3 linked regions of the Stegostoma tigrinum genome follow. The protein of the gene in region 1 purifies or fractionates together with the protein of each later gene. This does not show direct contact. Links are inferred from orthologs where the notes say so. Each region holds a gene or a part of one and is shown on either strand. Other genes may lie near its edges.

Region 1 (10,580 bases):
CTTTTTGTAATGAATGTAAGACACATGAGTTTCAAATATTAGACCTTCACTATATTTTTCCCCACAAGACAGCTCATATTTATAATGTGCTTATAATATGTCTGAGCATTGAAACCTCTTGTGTGATCTCCTGAGTAACTCCAAGTCAAAACAACCTTGTTTGACCTATACAATCACCAGGCAACCATTTGTACAAAAAGTGAATGTCGTCAAAGTTCAACGTAGAATCAATTGAGTAGGAAGAAAATCTATTAAAGCACTTATTAATTTGCATATAGGCCTTTGGAGTCTACATAAATAACAGAACTGCAGCCTGTCTTCCAGAAGCTGTTTTGAAGATTAAATGTCAGTACTCTTATTACTGTAATGAGTCCTATGGCATATGGATCCAGTTATTAACAATTTCCTTTGTTTCTTTATGTAGAATCATTATTGCTATGTTATACCGGTGTTACCTTTGTTCACTTTAGTTCATTTCAAGACTAAAATTTGGATGATAGACTCTTCCTTCTGGTCAGAGCTCTTTCACGAGCATAGCTATTCCTCCAACTATGAAATAAAAACTGATATTCATCCCTGAGTTGTGAATACATTCCATTCTGGAGACAATTCACAAATCAACTTGTACAAATGTGAGAACACAATGCAGGACAATACAAAATAATAGTTCAATAGTATGAAGAAACATTCTTATTCCAGGTCTTTAAAACTACATCCCTGACTGAAATTGCATCCATAAGCCGAAGTGTTCGTAAGTCAAGTGTTCATAAATTGGGGGCGCTCTGTATATAAATCAGCAATGCAAATATCCAACAAACTTACATGTTATTTTCCTTTATGCACTCACTCCAAAGGTGGAGACAAATGCTTCGTGCAGATTCACACAGACAGCAGCTTCTGGGACCTTACCTGTAAAGGGTCACACTTGCTGCTTAATTTCAAGCCCTTTGATCACAAAAGGAAATGTATGGATTACTCCAACCATTACAGTTTGGCATCACCCTTGTGAAATGCAAATTTAATGTTGCCCTCAACATTTTCAGTTAGCGCATGGACAAAACATTACAAAGGAGTTGTGCCAGTATGAGGAGGCATTGCAAGGACATTTGAAAGTTTACAAGCAGGATTTTGGCTGACTTTAGTACAAGACTCTTACAGAGAAGGTGGGAAGGATTTGCTAGTGTCGCAAGTTATTTTAATAATTGTTTTGAACCTTACCTAGGACATACTGTTGTGGAAAGGCATCAAGAGAGGTGTCAAGGGAATTTCCTGCACCTCAGTACTGGACCTGGATACAGTTGTTCTTCAGAGTACTATCTATTCTGGAGGAGGTTCCTCTTGCAGTCCAGAGGAGATGAGTGGGAGAACAGGCCAGGGCCTGATTCACACTGTGGTTCAGGAGGAATGAACTGACAGTTGATTACGATCCTGTGGAAAAAATCATCATCAGCAGCAGGAGGACAGAGGGAGGAGAAGGCTCTATTCTACCAACAGAGTGTACCAGCAATGTGTGACATACTCCTAAAAATGTCAGAATGCCAATGGCAGAGGAGACTCCTTGAAGTGAAACAGTCACATCTCTGTGTGGCATGTTGGCTGTGGAGATTGACTCAAATTGTGTTCGTGGACTGTCTGTACTTGTGGTGTGGAAGGTCACAATAGTCCTGAATTTTTTGATGTTGAGTTCCTTCAAGTCTTTACCTGGAGACCTTTCTCGGATCCTGCAGCTAGCTACTCATTATCACATGAAGCTTTTCATAGATACAGCGTTCACGTGCCTCCATGAGTTTATTTCATTTAGCACTGACAACACAAGTCAAGCAGATGGTACCAGAGGCTTTGCTAACATTGTATGGTATCCAAAAGTACAAGGAGTCATAGATTGCACATAGGTGACAAATAAAACTCCTTTGGGAAAGCTAGGGACAGTCCTGAGCAGAAAATGCTACCATTCCATTTATGAGCATCTTGGATGTGATCATGGTCAAAAGGTGTGCACTCGATATCTTAGAAGATGTCGTGCTAACATGCTGAGATGCTCCCAGGTGCCAGGGACCTTATTTGTTCTGAACCTTTGGTGGCATATGGGTAACAAGGGAGATCCCCTGAAGAGATGGTACATGACTCCGGTACTGAGCCTAATAAAAGTTTTAAATACATAGAGTGTACTGAAAATGAGATATTGATGTTTGGACAAGTCAGATGGTGTTCGATAATGTTCTCCTGCTTGAGCCTCACTTGTTGTTGTGGTATCGTGTGTCTTGCACAACCTGATGCTCCCTCAGAGTGAGGAGCGGAGTGAACCTCATCATTGAATGAGAATTTGAGGATCAGCCTGATGATGACCAAGTTAAGCCACGCTAGCTACCTGCACAAGTCAGTGCACAGAATGCTTTGTAAGCTGGGGCGATGCAAAATACTCTTATAATGCAAAAACATTTTCACTTCTAATCTATAATTTGGTCCATGACACTATCTTACCTGATCTGCTTTTGGAATCTCCCAGTCATTAACACCAGGACTTCCGGTGCATGTGCAATTGTGACAATCAGAGAGGCCCACTTCAGTACAAACTCAAAAGCATACAGCAGATACAGATCAAAATCAACATCTTGAGTTCACATGAATTTGGTCCTGATCTATTGCTGGCTTGGATTGGGTAGAATTTAAATAGCCTTTTGCTGCTCAGCCTTGGAGAAGTAAACAGTGACTGGACATATACTTTTACCAGTGGAAGACCAGTTTCTGACAAACAATAGATGCAATATTCACCAGTCAATTAACTCACAGCTTTCTTATGATGTCTCAATTTGATATTGTTATTGCATGTTTATAAACTCGAGTATGTTTCTTTTAGCTTCTGGCTTCCTCTGCAAGTAAGTAAAAGTTCCCAAGACTGGTTTAATTAATTTCCTTCCCACTACTCTTGGTTCCCATCATCTCTGCTTGTGCTACTGACTCTCTCTTTTCTCTCTCTCCATGCAGTTGGCAATCACCTATCAAGCAATAATCACACTCTCAGAGAATAAGTGACCTGAAGAAGTACTGAGCAGTCTCTCAGTGGCCAGTGCTGGAGGTCTTCAGAGTAACTAATCAAAGGCTTTCCAGCTTGTCAGTTTTACTGAAGGAGGCCTTTAGGCTATGCGCTCATCTTGCTGACCCTGCTGAGTTGCTGACAGTTTAAAAAAAAAACACAGATTTTACAGTTGGAAATCCAAGATTCAAGGCTTAAGATCCTTATAATTGGTTATTCTACAATTTCTCTAAAATTTCTTAATTACTTCCCCATCCGATTCAAGGGTGTCCCTTGCTCTCCATTATTGTGAGCAAGGGAAAGTCAGAGCAGGATGGTGTCACATCCATATCCCATCGCAAAGTCAATTTCTGAAACTTTCCCAACAATCCAACCTGCCCCCAAAGGCCTGAGGAAACTCAGTCTACTTCATTGGTAAGTTTTTTTTCCCGTAAATGCATGGCTTCTGATGTTGACTGACCAACATAACAGAAGCTGTATATTTTTCAATTTTAACATTATCTGAAAAGAAAAAGCCCCTGATAAATAAGCAAAATAAAGGTGTAACAGTATATCTTTTGGTACTTTACTGAAAAAGAATGACAGGTTGTTTGAGCGTTTGTGAAAAATATGAACTAGATTAATTTGTAAGATCTTTAATGTGTGCTGGCAGAATAATTGATAATGATGGCTGTGTGGATATTATGTCTTGTGTAAGGGGAAATGTAAAAACCACAGATGAGACACAATATAAGTTCAAAATTATACCTGTGTGTGTGTGTGTGTGTGTGTGTGTGTGTGTGTGTGTGTGTGTGTGTGTGTGTGTGTGTGTGTGTGTGTTTGTGTGTGTGTGTTAGTATGTGCGCCAATTTGACAAAATCACAAGCTCAAAGTGCATAAACATCTAATGGGAAGTGTTTTGTTTCCTTAACAGATGCCCAAGCAAACTATTCATTTCTATGTTTCAATCCATGAAATATGAACTAATTCCCAATCCTAGGGAAAAAAATGAATCCATTGCTTTTGTGCAGGGATGTAGCTGATCTCAACTGCCTCAATGATTTTTGGAATGAAGTGGCATAAGGTGGTTTGTTATTTAAACAGCAGGAACAAGAAACCTGTCAGATTCTGAGAATTAATCAGTGCTAATCGTAGAGGTTTGTCAACAGAAAATGGTCATTTTTTAATGTTCAAGAGAATAAAGGAAGTATAAAGAATTAGTGAGTGAGCTACTGGCTCATTTTATTTGTGGTAAGCATGAGTTAGATTTTTCAGGTTTGCACACATCAGGTGGTGTGAAAATTTAGAAATAGTGCATGTTCTGAGATATATCAAATTTAAATAAGTTGTTTGAATGCACTAAATAAATTGACCAAACGACAAATTAGAAGTAAATGGCTAAATACAAATTATTTCATTTCTTTTAGTTATATGTTGAATTTCTACATTTTAGATTTAGTATGTGCCTTACCAATGAAATTTTCCTTTAATATTCTCCCATATAAAAGCTCCTAATATTTAAAGTCACAACATAATACTGGAATAAGAACAGCATGACTGTATTCCATTCAGGGTGTTTTTGTAAGTATTTAATTTTTTAATTCATTCCACATAATTGAGATGTGAATCAAAATTGCTTCCTTTTTTAGCAGCTTGAAGATCACTGCTATTTATATTTGTTTACCACCTTCCAATAGTGATGCTGTTAAGAAAATTGTAGAAGTCCTAACATGCACATCACCATTGAAATATGATTTTTAAAATTAAATTTGCATTGTTTGCATTAAGAGCCCTTTATTGTTTAGTGTTATTCTGTTTATAAAATGGCTGCTGCATCTCTCCTCATTTCTGGCTTGACAAAATGAGACATATGGCATCACGTCTCATTTTGCTCTGTGCACAATCATTAACAGTATCTGCTTGCCTTTAGGTTAGCCACATAGATTTGCCAGGTTTGTACTGTAACTTCCAGTGGGAGAAACAAAAGAGTCCCCTCTCGTTCATTTACAAAGTGGTGCTTTGTAGCTTCACATGATTAATTAACGTACCGTTCAGCACAGTACAAGGCTGGCATACTACAGGTATACAAATATGCTGCAGTACAGAGCGGATTACGCACAAAACATTTTTTCACAGAAGCACAATTTGACACTGCTGGGAGTAATCAAATCCTGGACATAACTATGGTAATTGCTAATTTGCAAGTGTACAATTGTTTCGGAGCAAAGTTAGGCAAATTTCCAACTCATAGCGGGTCACTAGATTTCCTTGAAAATAGTCGCGTTGGTAACAAAAAGCTTAAGGAGGCAAGGGCTTCCCGATGGTACATAAAATTAAAAGTGTGATAAAATGGCCAACATCATTAGTATTTTCGCAAGTGTGTTTCATCGAATATTTTGATGGTGTGAAGTAAGGATGTGTGCTGTGGCTGCGTCAGCCTGTTTGAGTGTGATGTATTCATTTTGCAGTTGGCTGTTGCAGCCTGTATTGCAGAGCTTATGACCTGCTTTCACATGCAGCAGATTCTCCCATAAATTCTGATTCATATCCAGCAGCTGAATCCTGGGTCTTGCTGGATATTCTTTATTCGCTTTGTTTCGATTTTGTCGCCTTGAGCTGAATAAACTTCACGAAGCTGATGCCTGGCCGATCTGTGAGGTAATTTAGCGCTAATTAATTAGTGATGGTTGCAGAGTGCGCAGGAATTTCAGCCTGGCCTCATTTTTTTTTGTTTTTGTTTAGTCCACTTTTTTTGTACAGTATTTTTGTATCTGTACCTCAGTTTGTGATTACTAAATTCCTTCCCGCACGGAGACCAAGTCGAAGATATAGAAAGAAAGCAAAAGTGAGAGTTTCAACAGTCTACGCGTGCTTTCGCTTCTAATTTTCCCACCCGTTGTTAATTGTTTCATCGTTTTGAGTGAACCAGTTTTGCAGCGTTCAGCTGTTTCCACATTTTCACCTCAAGGCCCTATGTTTGGCTATTCAGTCGAGCAGTAGGCTCATTGCCAAGTTAGCACAATGAAGAATGGCAATATGCAGATTTGTCTTGTCTTCATTAATGGCAGCTGTAGAAAAAAAATGTTCAAGAGCTGATTACTGATTACTTAGAATAAGACCGTGGGAAAATCGTTGTCTGGTTAACGTATCCTACTGTGTTTGCCATAAGCCTTGCATCCAACATGGCTGACAAGGTTACCCTCCTCAGATGATCTCAATGCTGCTCTTTAAGTAGATTCTGCGCTGAAGCTTTTTGTCGCTTTAGTATTTGAGATCCATTAGGTAGGAGCCGAGTGCCTTCTCCATTACAGTACACTGTTGAACAACTGCTCGTCTTACTGATGCGAGCTGCCGGCGTGCACTCCACTCGCCTGTTTTGCATGTGTAATGCGACTGCGCTTAATGACTGTGAGTAATTATGCCAATCAAAGTTTGTCTGGCCTGTGATTTTTGAAAGTTAGCCAGTGCTGGGGTTAAGTTGGCACAGCAACTGTTGTTAGGGGAGCACTGAGCCTCTCACAGCAGCAGCCAGCTGAATTGTAATAAGAGAGTTGGCATCATTCCAGATTCCACAGCATTCAGAGGTATGGTATATTGTGCACGGGGAACTGGCTAATTAATCTTCCAGCAGGGAAGAGTGTAGCTTCAGACAATTATAAAGCGGAAAGGAAGATTAGAATAGAAACTGCCAGCTGAAGAAATGTTGATGATTTTGAATGATAAAGCTGGCATAAATAATGCACTTGAGTTAATTTAATGTAGATGTTCTGATGCTGTTCCATGCATTGACAAATTTGTTTTATTCTTTTTATAGGCAGCAATTAAAGAGCAGGAATAAAAACACTCAAACCTTCTTTTAACCTGGCTTACATGATTAGATTGTTTTAGAGCCCAGCACAGGATTGGGATACCACTACAGTATCTGGAGGTGTGTGAACTTGGTAGAATGGCTTGGTCTTCTATATAATCTGAGGAACTTTTTCTAAGAAACTATGCATTAAATAGTGATTGTTAACACTGACAACTGAACTCAGTTTGTAGATTTTGATAATTTCCCATGGCTAAACAAAATTAAAGATAATTTTTAAGCAGTTTTCAAACACATGATGCTGTAGTGATGTGTTGTGAGAAAATACAACAGACATTCTCAGAATACCTCATTCAATATTTATATTATTTATTTAAAATGCAGAGTTTATCCATTCTGGTTGTATACAGTGGCAATAATAAATCACTATTGTAGGAGGGAACAAGCGTGAATAAAGCATTTGTTTTTGCTATGTCAGTCAGTGGGGCTCTGTTCAGTTGTTTGGGGCCCAGCAAAATGGACAGTCATGCTCCATCATCTTGGTGTGTAGAATTTGGCAAGCTAATTAGTTTACTTCCAATGTGTAAATATGAAAGTATATCAGCCTGATCTAATAGCACTTTTTTTATAAAAGCGCATTAGTCTTGAAAGTTTTCAATAGTTTGCGTACCTGATATGGAGCCAATTGTTTCAATGTTGTGCTAATTAAGTTGTGTGTGCAGGAATACACATAAGGTTTATCCTGCAGTTTTTCAAAGAAGTATCATTTGTCATAGCTGATGCAAAGCCAACCTCTACAGGTCACAAGTTTTCTGACTGCAAAAGGCACAGGGTTGCTAGCAACTTCCTTGAAATATAATTACAGTGAATAAACCTTAATTTGATCTTTCTCACTACTAGTTAAGTTTGACCTTATGTAGCAAAGGAATCATGTTTCTTTCGAGTTAGCCATTGTATATTTCGGAAATGGCATCTCTAGAGACCCACCCTAGTCCCTTTGTCTTCAAAATTGATATAATAGAATTGTAATATTCAATATATGCCAGGTTAAATATTTGCAAAAGTAAAATTAGCGAATCTGACTTGATGCATGTTCTCCAATCATATGTTTTATGTACAATTTCCCAATCACATTTTAAAAGAAAACAGTTGGAATAAATTGAATGAATGTATAATACATACATTCATCAATCAGTATGATTGTTTTATGGTAAGCAGAAAGTTCATTTAATGTAGCTCGTAATATAAGTTGGCTCTTTTAACAGAGTGATGTTAAATTCTGTTATGCTGCTCAGGAAGTATGATAGTCCCTTTTCTATTTGTTACCTTGTTTGATGTGAATATTTTTAAAAGAAAAATTAATTAGCTCCACTGAAGACCAGCTATGATTCCTATGACCTGACAGGTGCTGATTGTGAGGAGAAGCTGGCTGATGAAATCAGATGCATTAATTAATAAGCATCACTGCAGATAGCATTTACACAGTGCTGCCTTTGTACTCAGAAAAAAAAGAATAGATTTGACTTTGGAAACATTTCCAGTTTGGTTTCTAACTTCTGGGACTGCTATTACAAATTCACAAAGCAAATTTCAAGAAATGGTGAACAGTGCACTCATGTTTTTTATGACTCCTTGTTAATGAGACTGTGGAGAAACAAACAAGATCAAGGTTTTTTTCAGAGAAAATTTGCATCTCATTGTGTTTCATTTCTGGATGGGAACAGGAGTTCAAGACTTAATTTAGGTGGCCACTAGAACACCTATCCAATGCCACTGCGGTTCAGGTCCTCTTGAGTCATCCCTGACAGCAATCTAAAACAGTTCTTTCGTCCTTTTCAGATTCTGATAAGGCTACTATTGACAGAAGTAAGAATGCCTTAATGAAACTGGTGAAAACCTTGCAGAGCTTTCGATATATACCCCTCCTTCTTGAAAGTATGATCATTGACCTGCAGACTATGCTTCACTGGTCCACAGAAAAGCAAGTATTTACTTGTGTCAGAATTGTAAATAGCCCAATTCTAGGAAAGTCAATAAAATTAGTATTTTATTTTTCTTGCCTTGACCTTTTGTGTTAAAAACAGGGTTAGAGAATCAAATATAGCAAAACACTGAAGTAGCTACTTAATCTTCAAGTTCTGTGTGTGGGAGTCTTTAAAGTTTAATTCTATAATTCTAACCTTTATATCTGAACTCAGCTGGTGAAAATTCAATGCAAATGTCAGTGTGGGTAAATTCTGTAACAGCATACCCTGAGGCATTTTGCATTTTATAGCAAATTTGAATTTTTTCTGGGCATTGATGCATTTATTTTGTGTCAGTGCCAATTAGGTACTGTTTCCCAATTAATGATTCTATTGCAAATAAGCGGATAACTTTGTATTCAATTTATTTATTACAGATGATCAAATGTACTGGTATAGTTACAGAAAGCATTCTTTACTGCTGCTTTTCCTTAAGACCTTTTTTAGCTTGATTTTATTTTCTATAAGTAAGGACGAGGCTCCTATGTATTGAAACTGAGTGTGTTTTCTCTGTACTTGCGGTTGTAGCTTAATTAACCCCACTCCCAGCACATCATTCGCTGGAGAGTATGTACGATGCCCACTGAACCTCCTTTCACTCCAGATAATGAGGTTGATTTAATACAAGTTAATATGCTGTTCCAGATTCATATGTTTTTGTTTCCCTTCCTTTCTTGGGATGCGTACAATGCTGAAAATTGCCTTTTTAATTGTATTGTTGGGCATTTTTTCTTAACAATATCAGTGCAAGTTACAATAATGTTCCAATGATGATATCAAATCAAAAAATTCCAGATAATTAATTTGGTGTCAATGAAAGAACATTGATGCATATCCAGTTGAGGCTGGTAAGTTAATTGGAGAGAAACATGTAAGTGTTAATATTATCACAAAATCATTGCATTTTTAGATGGTAAAGAATACAGGGTGACTTTGAAGTACTTTTAGTGATATAACCGCGATGCACAGTAGCCATTCTGCCCTGGTTCCAGTGGTTTGCAAACTGATTCCAATGACATTGAGGTTCATCCATAAAGTTATAGCATGGACAATGTCAAGATTCTTGAGTGATGCAGCTGTACCTATCTATACGCTTGATGAATATATGTCTGGTCCAGTTTTACTTCCGGTCAACAGTGAAAAGATGCTTTTCATCTGATGTGTGTGAATGCAAGCACCAAGCTGGATGTAATTTGACTCCTGCTATCAGCTTTTGGTTAGAAACTTTTGAGCAGATATACACCCTGGAATGAGCAAACAGATCTACTTCTATCCTATAGCAGAGGAAAGATCATGAGTGAAGTAGTTGAGAATGGGTCAGACAAGATGTTTCATATAGCAAACCCCTGCAATGATTGCTCCTTTGTCAGAGGTATGACTATAACCTCTGGAGAAGTTTCTTTTCTCTCCAGTCACTGACTTCAGATTTATGCGTGTTTCTTAGTGCCATACTTGATCAAAGTTAGCCTGGGGTCAAGAGAGCTCCTCTCACTGCCCAGTGGTAGTTATCTACATCTGTCTTCAGCATGTGATCAGACCTGAATATTATTGGCTGATTTCTTATTCAATATCAGTCAACAGATTACTACCGAGCAGATATCATTTGTTGGTGTAGTCGCTAATAGTTTAATTGATATGTACAATCATGAAAACTGATATCTGCTAACAGATCAATGCCTGCCATGCCTGATAATTTGATTCCAGGTGTGGATTCAGAAAACTGAAGTAAATGAAC
Region 2 (11,702 bases), on another chromosome or scaffold:
GGACATTGAGACTTTAAAAAATTGTTTTACAAGTGTAAGTTCTCTCTCACATGCAGCAAAAAACATGAAGATGGTTATGGGAGGCACAATCTCAATTTATCACTGAAAACAGATGTGTTTAATTTTGATCAATTTCAAGGAATAGGGCAGGTATAATAACATTGAAAAGATAGATAATTGATAAAAATGTAGAGAACATGCAGCAATACATTGTGATGGAACAAGGACAGAACAAATAAACAAATGCTAACACTTTTAAAAGAATATAAATTTAAAGACACACACATCTGCAACCCTAAAACAGCAAATTTAGAAAGCTCGTAGCAAGAAGCATGTGGAATCCTCTGATTTAAAAATGGTAGTAGACTACAAAAGCCAGCAGAAAATGCTAAATCTATAGAAATAAAGCCAGTTAGAATTGTCTATTTACTCTTTCTAAAGTGAGCAGCCAAAAGCTGTCAAAGCCACAGAGGGAATAAGAACATTACAAAATAGAGCAGGAGAAAGCTTGCCAAGTCTGCCCCACCATTCAACATAATCACGATGACCTAAGGTTTCAACTTCACTTTCTTGCCCACACCTGCAGCACCAAACAATTGCCCACCTCTTGTATTAAATATATTCAACCATGATACACCTATATCCCTCTGGAGTATGTGAATCTTTGGAATTCAATCTATTAAATGAGGAACTCTCTCATCTCAGTGCTAGATGATTGCCCTGTTTTGGAACTGTGACCCATGTTCTTGATTTCACAGCTGGGGGAGGAAACCCCGCATTGCCCATCTGAATCAACCCCTTAACAATCTTCTATGTTTCATTTTGATCACAGAGAACACAGGTTCCAATTTCCTCAGCCTCTCAAAAGTAGAATTGCTCCTGAGATGAGTGCAATCTTGTGAACATCCACTCTTCTGTCTCTAATGCAAATCTATCCTTTCTTATATATGGAGAGCAAACCAGCACCCAATATTCCAGACAAAGTCTCACCAAAGCCTTGTTCAATTGTAACAAGGGCTCATTACTCCTGTAGTCAATCCTCTTCCATTACAGGCCAACATGCTATTTATTCTCTTAATTGCTTGCTGTCCCACATTCTAAGATTTTATGTTGCCTGCATGGGTACACCAATGTCTTCAGAACATCAACTCTCAAGTTCTGCACCTATTGATAAGAGTGTTGATTTTCTATTCTCATCACCAAAGTGAATGATCTCACTTCACCATATCACCGTTGATAATTGTCCTTCAATTTGGGGATGTCAACTATCAATCAGAGTTGCAAGTTTCTGTTACAGGTCTTCATGTAATTAAACTGGCCAACTGTTGACCTGCAGATCTCTGATCACATGCAACAGGAGGTCCGAGGTGGTATGGGAATCCAGAGTACAGAAATTGCTTCCACTCACATTCCCTGCAGCTGCTGTGCCTCGTGATTAAGGCTTTTGGGATCAAAGCTTGATGGATCAGCTGGTGTCATTTTGCAAGACTGATAATGAAGTAGTCCCTATCATGAATATCAATGCTGCCACATATCAAGGAGAACTTTTCAGTAGCTCTGATTCACATTGTTTTTCCACCCTTGGAATACTGGCCATTCAAGGGTTGAGAACACAGGATCTGGCCAGGAAGACAGTTTTCAGACAAGTGGATAGTGTCCAGTCCACGACACACTCCTTCTGCCACCTTGTTGCTCACTCAATTAACTTGTCTGACTCACAGCTTCCATGATTGGAGATGCCAGTGTAGGCCTGGGATGGGCCAGGTCATAAAACACATGACACCAGGTTATAGTCCAACAGGTTTATTTGATAACACAAGCTTTTGGAATCTTACTACCTCTCTCACTAACATCTGAAGGAGGAGTAAGACTCCAAAAGCTTGTGTTTTTAAATAAACCTGTTGGACAATAACCTGGTATTGTGTGATTTTTGACCTTCGTAGCTTGCATTCACACATAGCTTTGACTCATGATACTACCTGGATACATTACTCAGTGTTGTCATCCAAATCATGAATATAGATTGGAAATAGCCAAGATCCTAGCACTGATCTTTGCACCACTCCACTAGTCATAGTCTGTAGACTTAAAATGTCGATTTACTCCCATGATCTGCTTACAGTATGTTACTGATTTTAAAAAAGCTGACTAATTGGAAGCAAACAGAAATAGTCAATGAATATCTTCTGGAAGAAAAGATTGTAGTGCAGTTCCCCATGGTTCAGTATTGGGACCCTTGCTCTTCCAGATATGTATTTGTGATCTAGTCTTTGGTGTGCAGGGGATAATACAAAACTTGGAAGCATTTTAAAACGTGAGGAACAGTGATAAATCATAGACAGATTCAAGGATGAATAGATTGCAGGTGATGCATTTTTATACGAAGAATATAAATACAGAATGGGTATAACTCTAAAAGATAGGCAGGAGCAGAGGGACCTGGATCTTAATGTGAGCATATAATTAACACTAAAGATCAGGTGGACAGCGCATTACTAAAGCATACAGTATCCTGAGTTTTATACCGGGTCACAGAGTACAAGGGTAAGGAGATGATCCTGAATTTGTATCAAAACACACAAAGCTGGATAAAGTTCTGGGGGTGACACTGGAGAAAGGGTACAAGAGATTTACAAGGATGAGACTTCAGTTACAAGGAAAGATTAGACAGCTTGGGAATGTTCCCCTTGGAAGGAATAAAGATAAAAGATCACAGAAGTTTTCATAATAGTGAGGGGTGCTGAATAAGTACATAGGGAGTAAATGTTTCCACTCAAAAGAATCAAGAATGCAAGGGTACGGATTTAAGGTGGATGACAAGATGAGAAGATGTGAGAAAAAAAACATTTTCAGGCAATGAGCTGGTCAGTCAGAATACACTGCCTGCAAGTGTGTTGGAGCCAGTTTCAATGAGGTATTCAAGAGTATGTTAGATGATTATTTAAGTTCTGAGGAAGGGTCACTGAACCTGAAACTAACTCTGTTTTCTCCTTCACAGATGCTGCCAGACCTGCTGAACTTTTCCAGCAACTTTGTTTTTGTTCCTTAAGTTTACACACAGTTTTAGAGGGATAAACAGAAATAAATTATTTCAAATGCTCAATGAGTTAATGGGTATAGATTTAAGATAATTTACAGTTGATGTAAGCAGACTATGCATATCTACATTGATAAAAGAAAGTGGATAAAGATTTTAATTAAAACTTGAGAGGGTATAGGGATAAATGGATAAATCTTTTTTGAAGTCCAAGATGGTCAAAATCACCTGTCATCTAGTAGGATTCAGAGTACAGTTAAAAAAGAATCAAAAATAAGACCATTCTCGCATCATTACGAGATCAAGCTCAGTGTGGACTTTTTGTATATTTCAATAATGCACAGTTTATTCTCTTAAAAAATTACGTTTACCTTTCCCAAGCGTTAAGTTAAAACGCATGACAGAAATCCAACTATAGTACAACGCTCCTCTCTCTCTCATCCGCATAGTAACACACGTTTGCATCTAAAAACCGAAAGAACTGCGGAAGCTGTAAATCCGGAACAAAAATAGTAGTTGCTGGAAATGCTCAGTTCGGACCAGAGGAAGGGTCAGCGGACCCGAAACGTTAACTGATTTTTTTTTCTTCTTCACAGATGCTACCAGACCTGCTGAGCTTTTCCAGCAACTTCTGTTTTTGTTCGCGACACTTTTGCATCTGTTTTCTTTCATTGTCGGCTTTGTCAAACCATCCAGCCTAGTTTACTTCCTCCAGTAATTTAGGAGTGAAGTGAGAACAATTACCCGACTCCTCTCATCTTGAGTGCTGCAAGTTAAAATCCGAGTGGGAAAGTACTACAGAGGCTTTACGTCCATTCGAAGCTGAACCACGGGAACAGCTGACAGTGATAACCCCACGCAGTCCTGATTTACTGTATTTATGAAAACAGCAAAGTATCGCCTTTATGGTTATATTTATAAAGTTCACGGGGGCGGGAGCGGAAGGTGGACGGAAGAGAACGAAAGACGGAAACTTTCCAAACGCGAGGGGAGCCCACAGCACAGCAAAGCTGGCAGCTAGAACACGGCCCGGTTTACAGCAGGTCACCCTTCCAACTTCAACCTGGGGCACTCCTCGTAGCCGAGTCCCAGGCTTGGATGAGGCCTCAATAGAGACAGGGTGGCCGCAAGCAACATCAAACTCCTCAGACCTCTGTAAGGCGCCACTTCAAACGATGAAAAACTTTTTTTTAAGAAAAGGAAGAAAAAACGTGAAGCAATAGCTTACCGGGTTCGCCGGCGGAATACATCCTCGTTTAAAGGGGAGGGAAGCAGCTGGCTGAGAAGAGATGGAGAGTTTCCCTTCCCCCCTCCCCCGTGTTTATGTAAAATTATAGTACAAACAGGAACAAAACAGCACTCATGAGGAAGAAAAACATTAATAATTCCCGATGGAGAGATGGGGGACATACGAGGAAGGATAGTGAAACGGGGACAGAAAACCCCGGGCCAGACACTTGACGGGCGGTGCAACGCGCAAGCGCAGGAGGCGGTCCCCAGCGCGCCGCCGTACGCCCGAACGTTACGCCTCCTCTCCCCCACCCCGCGACCGCAAACGCCTCGCGCCTCCCGCCTCCCGCGCGCGCGCCCGCCATTCGAGCCAGCGGAGGGCGCCAACGTGTAGCGCGCATGCGCCCTCGACAGGTCGGACCTCCAGTGCGGGTTGGGCATTCCACCCATGTGGTTGTGCGTTTTTGTAGTATGACAGTAACTGGGAGAGTGAATGTGAGTGTACGTGTCGAGAAACAGAGAGCTGTGGAGGCAAAATGCCTGTGTAACGTTGAAGGCTGAGCTGGGCAGATGCCCGATCAGGAGGGGAATCAAAGATCACGGGAAACAGCAGTGTTTGTGAGGAGAGACTGATCAGGCAGAGCAGGCTGGAGGGCTGTTTGGTTTTAAACACCTTTTGCCACTGCAGAATGCGCTTTTTTTGACATCAGTTAAAAACTTCCGATGAAGTTTGTGACCGCTTCGCAGAACATCTGCCTTCCGCTCAGAAAAAGAGACCCTGAACTACTTGTTGCCTGCCACTTTAAAGCACCACCGCGTTCCCTGGCCAACATCTCTTGTCTCTGGCTTGCTGGTGTGTATCAGCGAAGCTCAATGCAGAAGGACAACACCTCATTTTCCACTTGGGGACCCCTTGCAGCCTTCTGGACTCAATACCGAATTCAATAATTTTAGGACCTAAACTCTCCCATGTCCCAGACCCCCACCCCACACACCAGACCTTGTTACCATGGCATCACACACCACCTGCTATTAGTCATTATTCACCCTCCCAGCCTGATCATTATCAACTGTTGACTGTCCAACTGCTCCTCTCTCTTTGGGCTCTATTCTATCATTTGCTCCCTACCCCTTCCCCCGTCTCTTATTTTCTGCATATAAACTGCTGCTTTCCCAACCACCATCAGTTCTGAAAAAGGGCTACTGGACCCAAAGCATTAGCTCTGTTTTTTTCCTTCACAGATGTTGCCAGATCTGCTGAGCTTTTCCAGCAACTTTGTTTTTGTTCCTGATTCACGGCATCCGCAGTTCTTTCAGTTTTTAAAAACTTATGATGTTTTTTAAATTGCACCCGGGTGCGATTCCAGCCCCGGGCGACTGCCTGTATGGAGTTTGCGCGATCTCCCCATGTTTGCGTGGGTTTCCTCCGGGTGTTCCAGTTTCATTCCACAGTCCAGTGATTTGGAGGCTAGATGGATTGGCTGCAGTAAATTGCTCATAGTGTCCAGGGTAAGAAACGCAGGGATAGGGTAAGGGGTGGGTGTGGGTGGGATTCTCTGCGGAGGGTCGGTGTGGACTTGTTGTAACGAATGGTCTTCTTCCACACTTCAGGGATTCTCTGACTCTAAAAGATCTGTGAAGTCTTTGCAGAGAAAATACATATTGGAATTTTGACCTTCCTCAGAGCTCGCCTACAGTTGCAAAACCAAAGCATTTTCTACTCATAGTAGATAACTATTTACATACATTTTGAGGCAAGGACAGGATCTGATAACTGACCCATTTAATTTGGAAAAATGCAAAGTATTACATTTTGGTGAAACAAACAAAGACAAGACTTATGCAATCAAAAGTAGGGCCTTGAGCAGTGTTGGAGAGCGGAGAAACATAGGGGTTCAGATACATTATTCTTTGAAGTTTGCATCACATATAGATAAAGTGGTTAAGAAGGCATATATCACGTTTGCCATTATTGCTCAGACCTTCGAATATAGTAATCATATGTTATGTTGAGGTTACCCAGGGAGCAGTGAAGCCTCTTCTGGAGTACTGTGTCCAGTTCTGCTCATTCTATTATGGGAAGGATATTATTAAACTGGTCAAGGTTCAGAAGAGATCTGCCGCAATGTTGCCGGGAATGGAGGGTTTGAGTTATGAGAGGCTGGACAGTCTGGGATTTTTTTCACTGGAGTAGTAAGTTGAGAGGTGAACTGAGAGGTTTATAAAATAATGAGGAATATAGATAAGGTCAATGGATAAGGGTGGTGTATTTCAAGACTAGGAACTGTATTTTTTAGGTGAGAGGAAAAGGATTTTAAAAAGAGACAAGGCAAATTATTTACACTGGTTCGTGTGTGGAATGAACATCCAGAGGAAGTAGTGGATTCGGCAACAGTTTAAATGACAATTGTATAAGTACATGAATAAGAAGTGTATGGAGGAATATGGGCCAAGAGCAGGCAAAAGGGACAAGCTTAGTTTGGGATTATGGTCAGCTTGGACTGAAGGGTCTGTTTCTGTGCTGTAATACTCTATGACTCTAGATCCTTGTTGTACTTCAGCAGAAAGACCTTAGATGGTGCTCTTTCCTCACTGCTTTTTGGCAGCAGCTGCTCCAAGTTTTAGTGAGTCCCTCAGCGTGTAGTTCTGCACCTGGAAAGTGCCAGCCTGTAGCACTCTTTCGAGATCAACTCTTTACACTGCAAGGCTGACAGATTTCTTCCAGACCAGAGAACATCTTTCACAAGAGTTGATGTTTTCCAGGTGCGGTCAATACTTGTCTCAGTGCCCGTACAGCACGGAATTCTGCTACCCCCGCAGCTGCCTCAAGGACAGCAGTGGTGTCGGAGAGAGTCTGGGTGAAAATGAAGAATATGACTCTTAGTGCCCTTCTTGCCAGCAGCCAAGTTACAGTTTAGTGCTTGTTGCCAAGTTCTGGTGATGAGGCATTCAGCCAAATAGGTTTGACAGTCTGCTCTGGGAAACCACACAATAATGAGGTCAGGCCTATCATTTGTAACACCAGGGGCAGTTTGGACCTCAGTATGTAATAATACATGGTGTTTATTTACTGACGGTCCACGCACAGTTTGATGCAGAGCACATAAAGTTAGCCATGAGGATTAGGTTGGCATTGGGTATGTCCTTCTGCCAATCTGGAGCTTTGTACATGATGTCTGAATATGATCCATCTTTGATCTCCAGAGAAAGTGGCTCGGGTGACTGCAGTGGTCAAGGCTGGGAGAATGGGCCCGACCTGTGCCATGTGCAGCAACACCAAAATTACCTCGCACCTGATGACCAGGCTTTTACCTCCAGTAGAGAGAGAGGCTGGTGCTCCCATCTGCCTAGTTTCTACTTTTCCTTGGCAATATGCTCCTCCCAAGTTTTAGCACACGCCGTGGCCTAAATGAATGATATTCCCAACATCTTCAGGTGATCTGGCATGATGGTAAAGCGGATAAGGATCAGTTGATCCAGTTCCCAAAGAAAATGGCCTCACTCTTGCCTTGATTTACTTTGGCTCCTGATGCCAGTACAAAGTCATCCTTGTTCAGGGAGGCTTTCTACTGCCTCGAAGAGTCACCCCTCCCAGGCTTGAATCCATCTGGATGGACTCGGCAAAAGGCTCTGTGCAACACAAAAAAGGCAGGAGAGAGAGGAGCCCTGCCCAACTCCAGATATGATCAGGAAATCTTTTGATTCCCACCCATCAATTGAGACTGTGCTATTGATATTAAAAGAAAAAAGAACGGAACAGCACAGGAAAGGCCCTTCAGTCCACCGAGCCTGCGCCAACACATGAAGCCTTTCTAAACTAAAAACCATTGCCTCTATGCAGTCATATCCCATCAAGATTCTTCTTGAACATTGCTATCGTATCTATTTCTATCACCTCCATTCCCGGAACTTACCACCCTCAGTGTAAAGAACTTGCCCCTCACATCATCTTTAAATCTTCCCCCTTTTACCTGAAATCTATGTTATCTAGTAACTGACATTCCTACCCTGGAAAAAAAGACTTTGACTATGCATTCTATCCACACTTGTTATAATTTTGTTAACTTCTATCAGGTCATCCTTCAAGTGAAAACAAACCAATTTTGTCAAATCTCTCCTTGTAGTACCCTTCAAATCAGGCAACATGCTGGTAAAACTTTTCCATGCCCTCTCCAAAGCCTTTGAATTTGATGTATAGCAGTTGGATCCAATTGTGGATTTCTTCCCTAAAGCCCATTTTGGAGAGGACATTCCTGATGTAGATGTGCAATATCCTGTCAAAGGCTTTCTTTGGTTCTGTAAAGTAACATTTTGAGGAAATAAACAAACATTGGCGTTTGTCTGTGTCCAAACAAACCAAAGACATCTCTTACACATACAAGACCACATTTACATTCATTGAGGTATCAGGAGGGTGAGATAACTGAATGGACCTCCACTTACCTTCAGCAGGAAGACCTCAGAACAATGGCTTTATCCAGTGTGCCTTGGTGGCAGCTACACCAGGCTCCATTGCGGCCCTCAGCACATAGTCCTGGACCTTGGGAACATGCCAGCCTGCAACACTTGGTTGAGGTCAACTCCTTGTTCTGGAAGGCCAACAAGTTTCGGGCAGACCAAAGAACGTCTTTTACCGTTTTGATGGTCTGCCAGATGCAGTTAATGTTTGTCTCGATGTGTATCCTGGGGAACAGATCACAGAGCACAGACCTGCTGTGGACAAACCCTGTCAAAAACCACTGCATCTTTCTCTGGACACCCTTTGCAAAGGCACATTCCAGCAAGGGATATGTGACAGTCTAAGCACCGCCCCCTCCACCACATCTGCTTTGAGGGCAACATGCAGTGACACCAACCGACCTGGCTTACATGAAGGATATGATGGATAGTGCCCTTCTCACCACCAGCCAAGAAATTTCTTGGTGCTTGTTGGAAAGGTGATGAGGCATTCTGCTAAATGACTTTGACAGCCTGCTCAGGGAACCATGCGATAGGATACACTCTGTCTTTTTTCCTCAGGTGTCAAGGATGCTATATGCTGACCACTTCCTAATGGACATGTGGTCAAAGGTGGTTTTCTTTGGAAATTTCTCCACAAAGGACAGGTGATACGAAATGTTCCAACTATTTGAAGTATTGAACAGCAACAAGGCCAGTCCCATCCTTTGCAACACTGGGGACATGTAGAACCTCAGTATGTAGTGACGCTTGGTGTTTGCATACCAAGGGCCTACACACAGTTTGATGCAGTTGCACACAAAATTGACCATCAGGATGAGGGTGATGTTGGGTACATTCTTCCCTCCCCTTGTCCAGAGTTTTGTACATGGAGTCCCTGCAGACCTGGTCCATTTTAGACCTCCAGATGAAGTGGAAGATGGCTCAGGTGACTGCAGTAGTGCAGTGTGATGATGAAGGAGATGGTGGATTGCTCAGCCTAGTTCCCAAAGAATATGACCTCGTTCTTGCCTCGATTTACCTTTGCTCCCAAGGCCAGTTTGAACTGGTCACAGATGCTCCCCATCAGTAAGGTCATAGCTGGAGCTCTGTATATAGTTCTGATTGCCAAACCAGATGTGATAGTGTAGAGAAGATTCACCAGGGTATCGCTTTGAGCAATTCAGCTATGATGAGAGATCAGATAGGCTGGGTTGTCTTCCTCAGATCAGAAAAAGCCTAGGAGAGACTTGATGGAAGTGTACAAAATTATGAGGGGCATAAATAGGAAGAAACTTTTCTCTTTGTATCGAGATCAGTAATCGGGACAAAGGTCTAAGGTAAAGGGCAGGGGGTTTAAAGAGGATTTTGGATTTTATTTTTCACCTAGAGTGTTGTGGGTGAAACCAAATGCCTGAAAGGATGGAAGAGGCAGGAACCATCACAACACTTAAGAAATATTTAGATGATTACTTGAAGTACCATAGCATACAAGGCTACAGCCAAATACTGGAAAATGATAGATAGAGATAGGGGCTTGATGACTGATCTGGACATGATGGGCCAAAACGCTTCTTTTTGTGGTTCTGAAACTCTATTATGCCACTTTATATATGAGTTCTAGCTTATTACTACTGTAAGCAACGGCTCTGGGTTGAACCCCATAGGAACATATGTGGCCATTCAGCTCCTGGAGCCTGTACCAACATTAAATGAGATCATGGCTGATTTGTGACTGAACTCCATATACCTGCGTTTGGCCATAAACCCTAGTACCTATGCTAAACAAAAATAAATCTATCTCAGATTTAAAATTAGGAACGGATCTAGCATCAACTACTGATGTGGAAGAAAGTTCCAAACCTTACTATCCTTTGTATAACAAAGTTCTTTGCAACATTTCTCCTGAATGGCCTTGCCTTAATATTTTTTGACTATGTCCCTTGTTCTAGAATCTCCAATGACTGGAAATAGTTTATCTATCTACCCTGTCTTTTCCCGTTAATTTCAGATCACCCTGTAGCCTTCTAAATTCTAGAGAAGATCAGCCTAATTTGTTTAATCTGTCCTCATAACTTAACCTCTGAAGTCCAAGTATCATTTTTGTAAACCTACGTTGTACTTCCTCAAAGGCCAATATATCTGTCTTAAGGCATGGTGCACATCTCACTCTAGGAGTTATGGCTAACAATCACATGGATGTTCCATTGAGGAAGGGCTGTGCTGTCAGAGATGCTCCCTTTGAAATGTGGCACTAAATAGAGGCTCCATCTTCACTTGCTTAAACTAATGTAAAAGATCCTGTGGCATTGTTTCAAAGAACAAATGAGTTAACTGCTTCAGTGACAAAATGGTGGAGAATTTGGAGCTTTTGGTCCATGCAGGTGAAGTCTCAACAACAAAGGTCATCAAACATAGGGTGGCACGGTGGCTCAGGGATCAGCCCTGTTACCTCACAGCGCCGGGACCCAGGTTTGATTCTAGCCTTGAGCAACTCTCTATGCGGACTTTGCACATTCTTCCTGTGTATGAAGGTTTTCCTCCGGGTGCTCCAGTTTCCTCCTACTTTCAAAAGACGTGCAGATTAGGTCAATTGGCAATGCTAAATTGCCTGTAATGTTCAGGGATGTGCAGGCTAGGTTGATTAGCTATGGGGAATGCAGCGTTACAGGGGTAAAATAAGGGCATGAGTTTAGGTGGGATGCTCTTTGGAAGGCCACTGTGAACTTGATGGGCCAAATGGCTTGCTTCCATACTGTAGGGATTCTATGATTCAATAAAGGTCATAAAGTTCTGGGAAAGCTCAGTTGGTCTGGCAGCATCTGTGAAAAGGGAAACAGGGTTAATGTTTCAATCCAACCTGAATTGTGACTATATTGCGATCTGTGCACAGTGCCTGTAAGACGCTCTTATATGTCACTAGACCTGAAATGCACAGATACTGCCAGACCTGCAGAGATTTTCCAGCAATTTCTGTTTTCATTGCCCCTTATACTGT
Region 3 (10,779 bases), on another chromosome or scaffold:
AAACTAAAAGCAACACAAATTTATATATTCACTTGAAACAAAAACCACTAGCAGCCAACTTCAACTAAATGCATTAAAAGATGAGCATAAACAGCCATTTACAATGCCCTTGTTACCCAAGATGACCATTAAACAATTACTGTAAATGCCTCTAAACATTTCAAAGAATTAACCATGTGATAAGTCAATACTGCTTCTCCAAATTACACTTCACAAAACCCTCAATTTTTAAATACTGCAAGAAGTGTTAATCTTTCATTATTTTAAATGACAGTACTAATGTCAATGAAATGGGGACATGGAATCAACTCAAAAATGGCTAAGGAAATATTGTGCTGAAAGCAAGATACTGCCCTCCCTCAGCTGATGAATCAAATCTCCTCCATGTACACAAATACTTCAAAAAAGCACTCTGCATAGCAAGGGCACAATTTATTTTGCATTGGCGTTTTTCAATTCACATTACCAAGTGTTTGAAGAGAATAAAGGGTGTTGGGTCATTCTTAAGAGGGAATTCAGGATGGCAAAAAGGAGATATGACATAGCCTTAGCAGACAAGGGTAAGGAAAATTTAAAGAGATTCTACAAGTGCATTAAAAGCAAAAGAGCAACTAGGGAGAGAATAGGGCCCCTTAAAGATCAACAAAGTTGTCTATGTACTAAACCTCAGGAGCTGGGAGAGATACTAATTGGACATTTTGTGTCAGTTTCTATTGTAGAGGCTGGAGAAGTCAGGGAAATAAATATTGATGTTTTGAAAACAGTTCACATTACAGAAAAGGAAACGCTGGCAGTCTTAGAAAACATAAAAGGTAGATAAATCTCTTGGACCTGATCAAGTGTATCCCAAGACCTTGTGAGAAGTTAGGGAGAAATTGCAGAGCCTCTAGCAGAGACATCTGTATCATTTGAGAGGTGCCGGACGACTGCAGAGTGGCTAATGTTGTGCCTTTATTTAAGAAAAGCTGTCATGAGAAACCTAAGGACTATAAACCTGAGAGTCTGCCATTGACGATTGGTAAATTGCTGGAGGTGATTCTGAAAGACAGGATTTACATGCATTTGGAGAGGCAAGGACTGTGAGGGAAATAGTATCTCACAAACTTGATTGAGTTTTTTCAGGACCTAACCAAAGATATTGGTGAGGGCAGAGCTGTAGATGTTGTTTACATGGACTTTAGTAAAGCCGTTGACAAGGTTCCGCATGGTAGAAGAACTAGAAAATTAGATTATATGGGATTAAGGGTGAACTTGCCAAATAAATACAAGATGAGCTTGACATCAGATGAGACAGTGTGTGGTGAAGGGTGGTCGGGGGGGGAATACAATGTGGGGCTGGAGGAACACAGCAGGTCAGGTATCATCAGAGGCTCAGCAAAGTTGACTTCATCAGTACTGGGGAGGGGTAAGAGTGCTCGGAAATAAACGGGAGGTTGGGGTGGGGTTGGGGGAAGGTAGGTAGGATGTTGACAGATGGATGCAGGTAGGGGGAAGTGGAGATTGGTCAGTGGGAAGGGTGGGGCAGATAGGTGGGAAAGATGTGGACAGGTTGAGTCAGGTCAAGGAGGCGGGGATGAGGGGGAGGTTGGATATGGGATAAGGCCGGGGTGGGGCGATTTTGAAACTGGTGAATTCTGTGTTGAGGCTATTGGGCTGTAAATTCTGAAGGCAGAATATGAAGTACCGTTCCTCCAGTTTGCACGTGGCGTCATTGTGACACTGGAGGCGGCCCAGGAGGGGCAAGTCTCCAAGGTGGAGTAAAAGTGGCTGACAACTGGGAGGCGTTGTTGATTAGAACGTACAGAGAGCAGATGCTCCGCAAATCAGTCCCAGAGTCTGTGACTAGTCTCACCAACGTAGAGGAGACCACATTGGAAGCAGTAGATACAGTAGGCCAGGTTGGAATATGTACAGGTGAATCCCTGTCAGATTTGGAAAGACTGTCTGGGGCCCTGGATGGCAGTGAGAGGGGAGGTGTAGCACCTCCTGTGGTCACAGGGAAAAGTGAGAGGTGTGGTGAGGTTGGAGGAGTGTGTGGAGTGGACAAGGGAGTCACGGAGTGAGCGGTCCCTATGAAAGGCAGATAGAGGTGGGGAGGGAAATATCTCTTGGTGGTGGGGCCGGATTGCAGGTGGCAGAGGATTGGATGCTGGATGCAGAGGTTGATAGGCTGGCATGTGAATGGGGTGGTACAGCAGGTTGTTTTTCAGACTGGAGGCCCATCACCAGCAGTGTTCCACAGGGATCGGTGCTGGGTTCATTTTTGTTTATCATTTATTTAAAATGATTTGGATGAGGATTTAAGAGGCAAAAATTAGTGCTATAGTGGACAGTAAAGGTGATTATCTAAAATTACAAAGAGGTCTTGATCAATTGGATCAAGGGCTGTGGAGTGGTAGATGGAATTAATCTAGATAAATGTGAGGTATTACATTTTGGTAAAACAAGACTTACAAAATTATTAGTAGGGCTCTGGGTAGTGTTCTAGAACCGAGAAACATCAGGGTTTAGGTAAATAATTCTTTGAAATTTGCGTCACTTCAACAGTGGCTAAGCAGGCGTTTACCATGCTTGCCTTTATTGCTCAGACTTTTGAGTCCAGGAGTTGGGATATCATCTTGAGATTGTATAGGACATTGGTGAGGCCTCTTCTGGAATACTGTGTACAGTTCTGTCGCTCTGCTACATAAAGGATATGAAAACAACTCAAGGGTGCTGCCGGGAATGGAAGGCTTGAGTTATAAAGATAGGATGGGACCTTTATCCCCCATTGGAGGAGGTGGTGGTTGAGGGGCAACCTCAGAGGTTTATTAAGTCATGATGGGCATAGATAAGGTGAACAGCAAGGATCTTTTCCCTCTTGTGGAGGTGTTCAAAATTAGGGGGCATATTTTAACAGTGACAGGAGGAAGATTTAAAAAGGACGAGGGGAACTTTCTTTTTTAAACAGAGTAGCTCATACTTGAAGTCATGGATGCAGGTACAGTTACAATATTCATAGGACATTTGCTTAAGTACATGAATAGGAAAGATTTGAAGGGATATGGATCAAATGCAGGCAAGCATGAATAGTTTGTTTTGGGAAGGCAAACTGCGATAAAACAAAACTAAAGCTTACAAATCAAATAATCCTGCAACTGAAATATTACAAATTTGACTGACATCGCCAATGCATATAGCCCGTCAAGTTACTACCATCTCAGTCAAACCAAATAACTTTCACTGTATTAGATTTCAGCGTTGCATCCTTCACTTTTGCTCATTAAAAATCTCATCTTGGACTTATCCTCCACCATTTTTATTTTCTACTCTGGAACATCCTGCACTTCTAATTCTAGCATTTTATGGGAGCTTTTCCTAATTGCATCAGGCATCTGGGTCACAGAAGTAAATTTCCCCCTTACCACTGCATTGCCAAAATCCTTCATAGCATGTTTATGACCAAGCTTTTGGTCCCCCCACTGCTCAAGTCATTCTGTACAACTTATTTGTCAGAGCATTCTCTTCTGTTTGATTACACAACTGAAATAACTTAAGCATTTCTTATATATTTTTGATGTTGACGTACAGAACATTCTCTTGTATAACAGAAAAGGCCTAAGAAAAGAAAATCAGGTCAGTCAACAGCTGTGTTCCAGATATGGGCTTGAAACATTAATTGGCTGTCCTCTAGACTTATTGAGTATTTCCAGTATTTTGAGTTTCTTTTTGAGAGTTCGTGAATTAGTCTTGCTCTCTAGGCTTTTAATCATTTTGAATCTCTCTCCCCAATACTTGGTTTGCAACTACGAACCAGAGAGTTGATGCTGTTACGCACAGAAACTTACTGGGCAGATTCGTGAAATTCCTCATTCTAGCCCTGAGAAAACTACAGTCTTTAAAGAGGCTGAACTGTAGAAACAAGGTACAGAAAACCCACTTTTAGAAGGTCAGCAGACTACAGGCTTTCGATTCCATCTACTTCAAGTCTGGCTTCAACCTTTCCAGTAACCCGTCTATAAATATCTCCCCGGTTCCCTATTTCCTCTGGTTTTATGAGGGTTTGTGTCCATCTGGCCGCTACTGCCTTCGCCGCACTCAATCCCCATATCTATCCACCCGCCGTTTAAGGGCAGGTTCAAGCATCTTGTGGGATCCAGTGCAGCGGCTATTCATACCTGGGGTTCCGATTTCCATTCATGGAGCCCCTTCCTACACAGGCTTGGTTTTCAGCGGCCTCTTGACGGACAGTACCGGCCGGCGGGTGAACCGCTTCGATGTCGGAGGGATGGTCAGCCGGATCGGTGTAGATCTTTGCCTGGGGGGGGGGGGGGGGCGCTCCTCCCTAGCTGTAAAATACAGGCGGGGACTCTCGCTTTTACCAAACGGTGACGATCCCCTTAAGCGTGCAGGCTGGTTTCGGACTAAGAGGTATCTGCTCCTCGTGATCACTTGGGCCCCGCTCACACTCCACTTTATTTTCCACCGCTTTCGTCTTTTTCACTCTCCCTCGTCTACGGCGTTTCCCAACCGGAAAAATCGTCTTTTAACCGCCGGAAATGACGATTCCCGACCCTGGGTTAATTATTCCTACGTTTCTCGAGCAAACGTCACTACGGCAACGTGATCCTCTCCCTCCCGACATTTTGTAAACCGGTTTCTAGGGCAACGCAAGGTTTTACTTCCCCCACCCTGAGGATTATTTTTAAAGGTACAATTTTTGATTCTCTTTTGCCAGGCGGAGCCGCAACTGATTTCCTTTCAGGTCTCTCTTTTTTTTTGTTTAACTGATACGGCGAATAGTTTACATGTATTCTGCTTTGATTTCACGACCAAATTCTAGACTTAAAAACCTGTCTTTATTTTTGCAATGAATGTTCTTTCCAGTAACGCCCAGAACCGGCTATTCTCTTCGGGGCTTCTTTCGAGTTCAGATGGCTGTAATAAAGGGCCTCTCTGCCTTCTTCGTAGAGTTAGCAAAATGAGAACCCAGGACTACGAAGTCAGGTGCCCGGCGCAGCAGGAGCACTTGAATCGGTGAAAATGTTTCCCGAGGCTGAGCAATAAAAGTACGCGAGCAATTCGGTGCATCATCAAACTCGTTAGCGAGTGATTACCGACGATAGTTATTCAGCCAGTGTGATGAGATAGGTTTTAGGCAAGGCTCGGATCTTCAGTCGTATAAAATAAGAACAGATGTGATTTTGTCCTGCCAATAACAAATGGCCACTCTTTACTACACTTTCCTGGCATTCAAAAGCGTGTGGAGGATTAAGTAAATTACAGACTTGAAGGGGGAGGGTGTATGGCAAATTCTCGGGAACAGCTGGTATTCTTCTTGAAGCATCCGCATAATCTCAGGATGATAAGACGATACTGTCGTGTGCGTCCTTGCTTTAGGATCTTTATCCTTGCGCAGTAACGACATTGTATACCGTTTCTATATTTTTAGCTATTTTTTTAAAAAGTCTGAATACACTAAACATATTTTCTCTCTGCATAACCCACATGTTGAAGACTCGAGCCTTTTTCCAGAAGCCTCTCTGAAAACGGCCACTAGAGGGTGAGATGTGGACTTTGCTTTGACTTAGCCAATTGCTCTTGGCTGTACTGATCGTAGGTAAACTAGGAAGTATTCAAATAGCTGGGTTGTGAAAGGGCGCACTGCATTGCCAGCCTCCTTTCACCATCTCTTAGAAGTATTTATGTGGGTATGAGCCTTCTGCTTCACTTTGAGAGTTAGAAAAAGGCTTTTACTCAATCTTAAGAAATTAAAACAGCAATTTCATGAAACAAAGACAGGAAATGCCAGAAGTGATCAGGTCAGGCTGCTTCTTGGAGACTGCAACAAACCTAATATTTAAGATTACTACGTGTAGAGCTGGATGAACGGAGCAGGAAGACTGACGATTCGGGCCTAGATCCTCCTTCCGATGCTTCTTGGCCTGCTGTGTTCATCCAGCTTAATACCTTGTTATCTCATTCTCCAGCGTCTGCAGTTCCTACTATCTCTAATATTAAAGACTGACGGCCTTTTGATAGAACAACAAACTTTTCTAAAATTTTATTTCTTTTTTCCTTTTGGCTATTCAACCCAAGTTCAAGATATTTTAAATATTATCTTTATTTCAGAATCCTTCCTATTCATATACCCATGCAAATGCCTTTTTAAATGTTGTGATCGTACCAGCCTCCACCAATTCTTCTGGCAGCTCATTCCATGCGCACACCACCCTGTGTGTGGAAAAAGTGGCCTGTTTGGTCCCTTTTTTTTGTATCTTTTTCCCCTTTCACCTTAAACCTATGTCCTCTAGTTTTGGACTCTTTCTCCCCCCCCCAGGGAAAGACGTTGTCTATTTACCCTATCTATACTCATGCTTTTATAAACTGCTTTAAGGTCACCCCTTAGTCTACAATGTTCCAGGGAAAATAGCCCCAGTGGCTCTCCCTTTTGCTCAAACCTTCCAACCCTGGCAATTTCCTTGTAAATGTTTTCTGAACCATTTCTATTTTCACACCACCCTTCCTATAGGAGGAAGACCATAACTGCATGCAGTACTCCAAAAGTGGCCTAACTAATGTCCTCTACAGCCACAACATGACCACCCAACTCCAACACTCCATGCACTGACCAATAAAGGCAAGCGTACTAAATGCCTTCTTCACTATCCTTTCTACTTTGACTCTGCTTTCAAGGAACTATGTACCTGCTCTCCAAGGTCTCTCTGTTCAGTAACACTTCCCAGGACCTTACCATTAAGTGTATAAGTCCTGTCCTGATTTGCTTTCCAAAACTACAGCACCTCACGTTTATCTAAATTAAACTCCATCTGCCATTCCTTGGCCCATCCGCACAAGATCCCATTGTATCTTCACGGTCCACTACACTTCCAGTTTTAGTATCATCTGCAAACTTACTAACCATTCCTCCTGTATTCATGTCCAAAGCATTTTATTATCAAGTGTGACGCTTTGTTTTTGAGAAATTCAGGCAGATCATAGTAAGCAAGGATGTACAGGTGAGGTTGTAAAACGATTGAAGGCAACCAGGTTCCATTGCACAGGGTGCGTGCTAGGCAAGATCAACGTTAGCAAAATCAGCATTATTTGAGGTTAGAGAGTCCATTCGAGTCTATTAACGGCATATGCCAGAAGAAGCTGTTCCTGAACCTGGTGGTGTAAATATCCAGGCTTTTGAAGTTTCTGCCTGATGGAAGAGGATGTAGGATATCATTGTCAAGGTATGATCGGTCTTTAGCAGCTGTTCCATGCCAGTGAGCTGTGTAAATGGGGTCCAATTATATAAATGACAAATAGTAGTGGACCCAGCATCAATCCTTGTGGCATGCTGTTGGTCACAGGCCTCCAGTCTCAAAAACAATCCTCCACCAATACCCTGTCTTCTACCTTTGAGCCAGTTCTGTCCCCAAATGGCTAGTTCTCCTGCATTCCATGTGATCTAACCTTGCTAACCAGTCTACCTGTTGAAATTCTTATTGAAGTCAATATAAATCACATGCACTGCTCAGCCCTCATCAATTTTCTTCATATTTCTTCAAAAAAAAAACTCGGTCAAGTGGGTTGAACATAATTTTTGAAAGTACTTTAACCAAGCTGTATGTTATTTTCCACAGTGAGTTCTGCTCTGAAATGCTATTAACATAAAGATTACATTGTTTACAATGATCCATGATTAAAATTTTATTTCATCTGATTTGCGTGAGATTTTTCGGGTGAATGGACTATGCAAAAATTGTTTTTGCAGATGTTTGTTGGGGTTTCTTTAAAAATAAATCAGAACTAAAGCCGTGATTCTACTTCCTATGCCATCTTGTAACATTGGTATCTCATCATTTCATCAAAAATGCTAGAGAAAGATGATTGTTCAAAGCAGTGATCCCAGATTCAGAATGTCAATACAAGAACCGTCTCCTGCATCTCAATCTTCTGTCTGACCACTGGCATAGCAGGGCCAAGAATGACTTGGGTCAGTGTTTAAATCACTCTCCTTTTTTGATAAAGTCATCTGTGATTGTCTAAAACCAATACCATTGGTGCATGTAAGCTAACTGAAATGACACAAATCTTAGCTATGCTTTTGTGACCCTCAGAGCATCACTAATGACAAGCTTCTGTTCCTAAGAGGTCAGCATTAATTAAAAGTTGAACTACGTCAGTCTCAAACATTGGAGAAGGCAATAATTTCCATCCAAATGAGGTAACAGGGAGCTCTAGCCACTACTTAGTTAGTAGGTAAGATTCCTGTTTGTTGGATTAAATATCATCCCTTATGTCAATGCAAGCAAGATAGAGAGGTAATGTACTCTGCAATGAGTGGCTCATTGTACCCCTTACAAGTTTTATTCACTTTCTTTTATTCATTTACAGGTTATGGGTGTCACTGTCTATCTCTAATTGTCCTGAGAGTAAGTCAGACTAGGTAAGATGGCAGTTTTCTTCCCTAGAGGAAATTATTGAACCAGGTGGGTTTTTCCTGGCAATTGACAATGGTTTCATGGTCGTTATTTGATCACTAAGCAGCGAGATAAATATCCAGATATTTATTGAATTCAAATTTCACCTTCTGCCATAGCAGGATTCAAACCCGGGTCCCTGGCTTAATGGTCAATTGATAATACCACTAGGCCATCACCTCACCGTTTACAAGACTCAACTGATTCTTCACCGATCTGAATGGGTGTCATACCCACAAAGATGAGAGCAGAAGTTTGCTTAATTGGTATCCCTTTCCCTGGATTTAACATCCACCATGGCAGCAGCATATTAGGCATACAGGATGTAATATAGAAACTCAAGATATTAACCTCTACACCAGAGTTCCCTTAGGGCTCTGATCCTGACTTGGATGTATGTGTCAGAGACAGTAGGAACTGTCGATGCTGGAGAATCTGAGATAGCTAGGTGTAGAGCTGGATGAACACAGCAGGCCATGCAGCATCAGAGGAGCAGGAAAGTTGACGTTTCGGGCCTAGACCCTTCTTTAGAAAATCAGAAAAATCTAGGCCTGAAACATCAGCTTTCCTGCTCCTCTGATGCTGCTTGGCCTGCTGTGTTCATCCAGCTCTACACCTTATCTTGGCTACATATGTTGTTGTTCTTTCATTGTTATTGGATCAGACCACTGAATTATTTATCTGACAGCAATGTGGGATGAGCAGTTCTAAGAGAAGGCCCATCACCTCTTTAGGTACGTAGAAATCAGAAAATAGGTTTTTGCCAGTGTTGCGACTTTACAGAGCCTTTAATAATTCAGTCTGATTTAAACGCTTCCAGAACTCCTGTTTGCCAACTTACATAATCCTCGTTAGGGGATCTATCAAAATGGCAAAGAATATCAAATAAATATCAAATATCAAAGAATAATACAACTTGTCATACCATGTGATAGATTTTGGTTGGGTCAGAATAGAATGCAATTTCACTGGTAAATTCCAGAAATAATACTCTATAAACCTTCATAGGAATTGTCAGCTGTTTAAAAGGACAAGTGCTGTACTTGACACTGATCCCATAATAATGTATACTGAAAAACCCATCCACAATAAATCATTACAACACAGAAATAATCCAACCAGGTACATGCTGGCTTTAATTCTCCAGCCAAACCTTGCACCTTTCTTCATCTAATTCTATTGAGAGATCGTTTTATTTCTCTTTCTTCACATTTACTTGGGGAAGTAAATACATCTCTTGTACTACTACAACTTGGGATAGCATGTTTCACACCCTAAAAAATTACTGATAAATGAGATAAATAATTCCCTTTTAGATTCATAAGAATAGGATAGTCATTGTGTTCCTTAGTTCTGATCTCACCCCACAATTGAAGATATAATCTCTAGATTTACTCTATTGAACCCATTCATAGTTTTAAACTCCTCTCTATCGAATAGAGATAGCCCAGTATGGAACAACTGCAGACCCACAGCTAAAGGATTACAAGTTGGAACTTTTAACTTTATTTCTTATTTACTACTTTATACTGAGAACTGTGATGTTGCATTTTTAACTTGTTGCTTTTCGTACTTTCTACCTAAGATTCTGTACGTAAGTATCTAAGATGGTGCCATTGTAAAGATCACTGTATTCCAGTATTGCTGAACTTTAATATACATGACAATAAAACCTAATTCTAATTATCCCTGTATCTTTCTTCTACATAAGAGCACTAGACCCTTCACTATTTCCTGTTAGATATATAACCTCTCAACTTTGGTTGTATTCAAGTAAATATATTTCACACCTGCTGCAGTGTCTCTACACTTTTTGTAAAACATACACCAGAATCGTTTATAGTATGCTGAAGTATGGTCTAACAAAAGTTCTTTTGTAGAAGATTCTGCTTTTTATTTCCAACTTTCTAGAAATGATTTGATTTTGACTTCATTATTTACTTTTTTAAAAACTACCTATTGGTGTGGCTATTAAATGATTTGTGTATTAGTATTCTACAGATTCCTCTACTCCTTTACCCATCTTGGACTATTTTCTGAAGAGTTTGTGGTCTCTTTATATTTTTCCAATTACACATTCATTCTCCAAATCTACATTTTGTTACAGTGTCATCTTTATTAGCATGGCTGTAAGATTTGGTGTCACTTACAAATTTGAAATTCAAAAGATCCTTACAATGTGGATGCAGGCCATTGGCCTATTGAGTCCACACCAACTGTCTGAAAAGCATCCTTGCCCTGTAGCCCTGTGTTTCCCAAAGTTAATTCACTTAGGCTGCACATCTGTGGACACTATGGCCAATCCATCTAACCTGCATATCTTTGG

Evidence for each region. Proteins that work in one complex are often made in the same cells at the same time.
Region 2: the proteins of tnrc6c1 (region 1) and protein argonaute-2 purify together in Homo sapiens (co-immunoprecipitation; 6 studies listed by BioGRID and IntAct, with this or other methods). This does not show direct contact. The link is inferred for Stegostoma tigrinum from reciprocal best matches to the Homo sapiens genes TNRC6C and AGO2.
Region 3: the proteins of tnrc6c1 (region 1) and protein argonaute-3 purify together in Homo sapiens (affinity purification with mass spectrometry; 3 studies listed by BioGRID and IntAct, with this or other methods). This does not show direct contact. The link is inferred for Stegostoma tigrinum from reciprocal best matches to the Homo sapiens genes TNRC6C and AGO3.

What each region holds. Positions count from the first base shown.
Region 1 is NC_081375.1:33,585,376-33,595,955, reverse strand, and holds the start of tnrc6c1 (trinucleotide repeat-containing gene 6C protein), read left to right. Parts: upstream 1-5,423; 5' UTR 5,424-5,671; intron 5,672-8,660; 5' UTR 8,661-8,802; intron 8,803-10,580. UniProt on the Homo sapiens protein: Plays a role in RNA-mediated gene silencing by micro-RNAs (miRNAs). Required for miRNA-dependent translational repression of complementary mRNAs by argonaute family proteins.
Region 2 is NC_081358.1:112,177,236-112,188,937, reverse strand, and holds the start of protein argonaute-2, read right to left. Parts: upstream 4,518-11,702; 5' UTR 4,288-4,517; coding exon 4,266-4,287; intron 1-4,265.
Region 3 is NC_081377.1:21,283,706-21,294,484, forward strand, and holds the start of protein argonaute-3, read right to left. Parts: upstream 4,518-10,779; 5' UTR 4,177-4,517; coding exon 4,158-4,176; intron 1-4,157.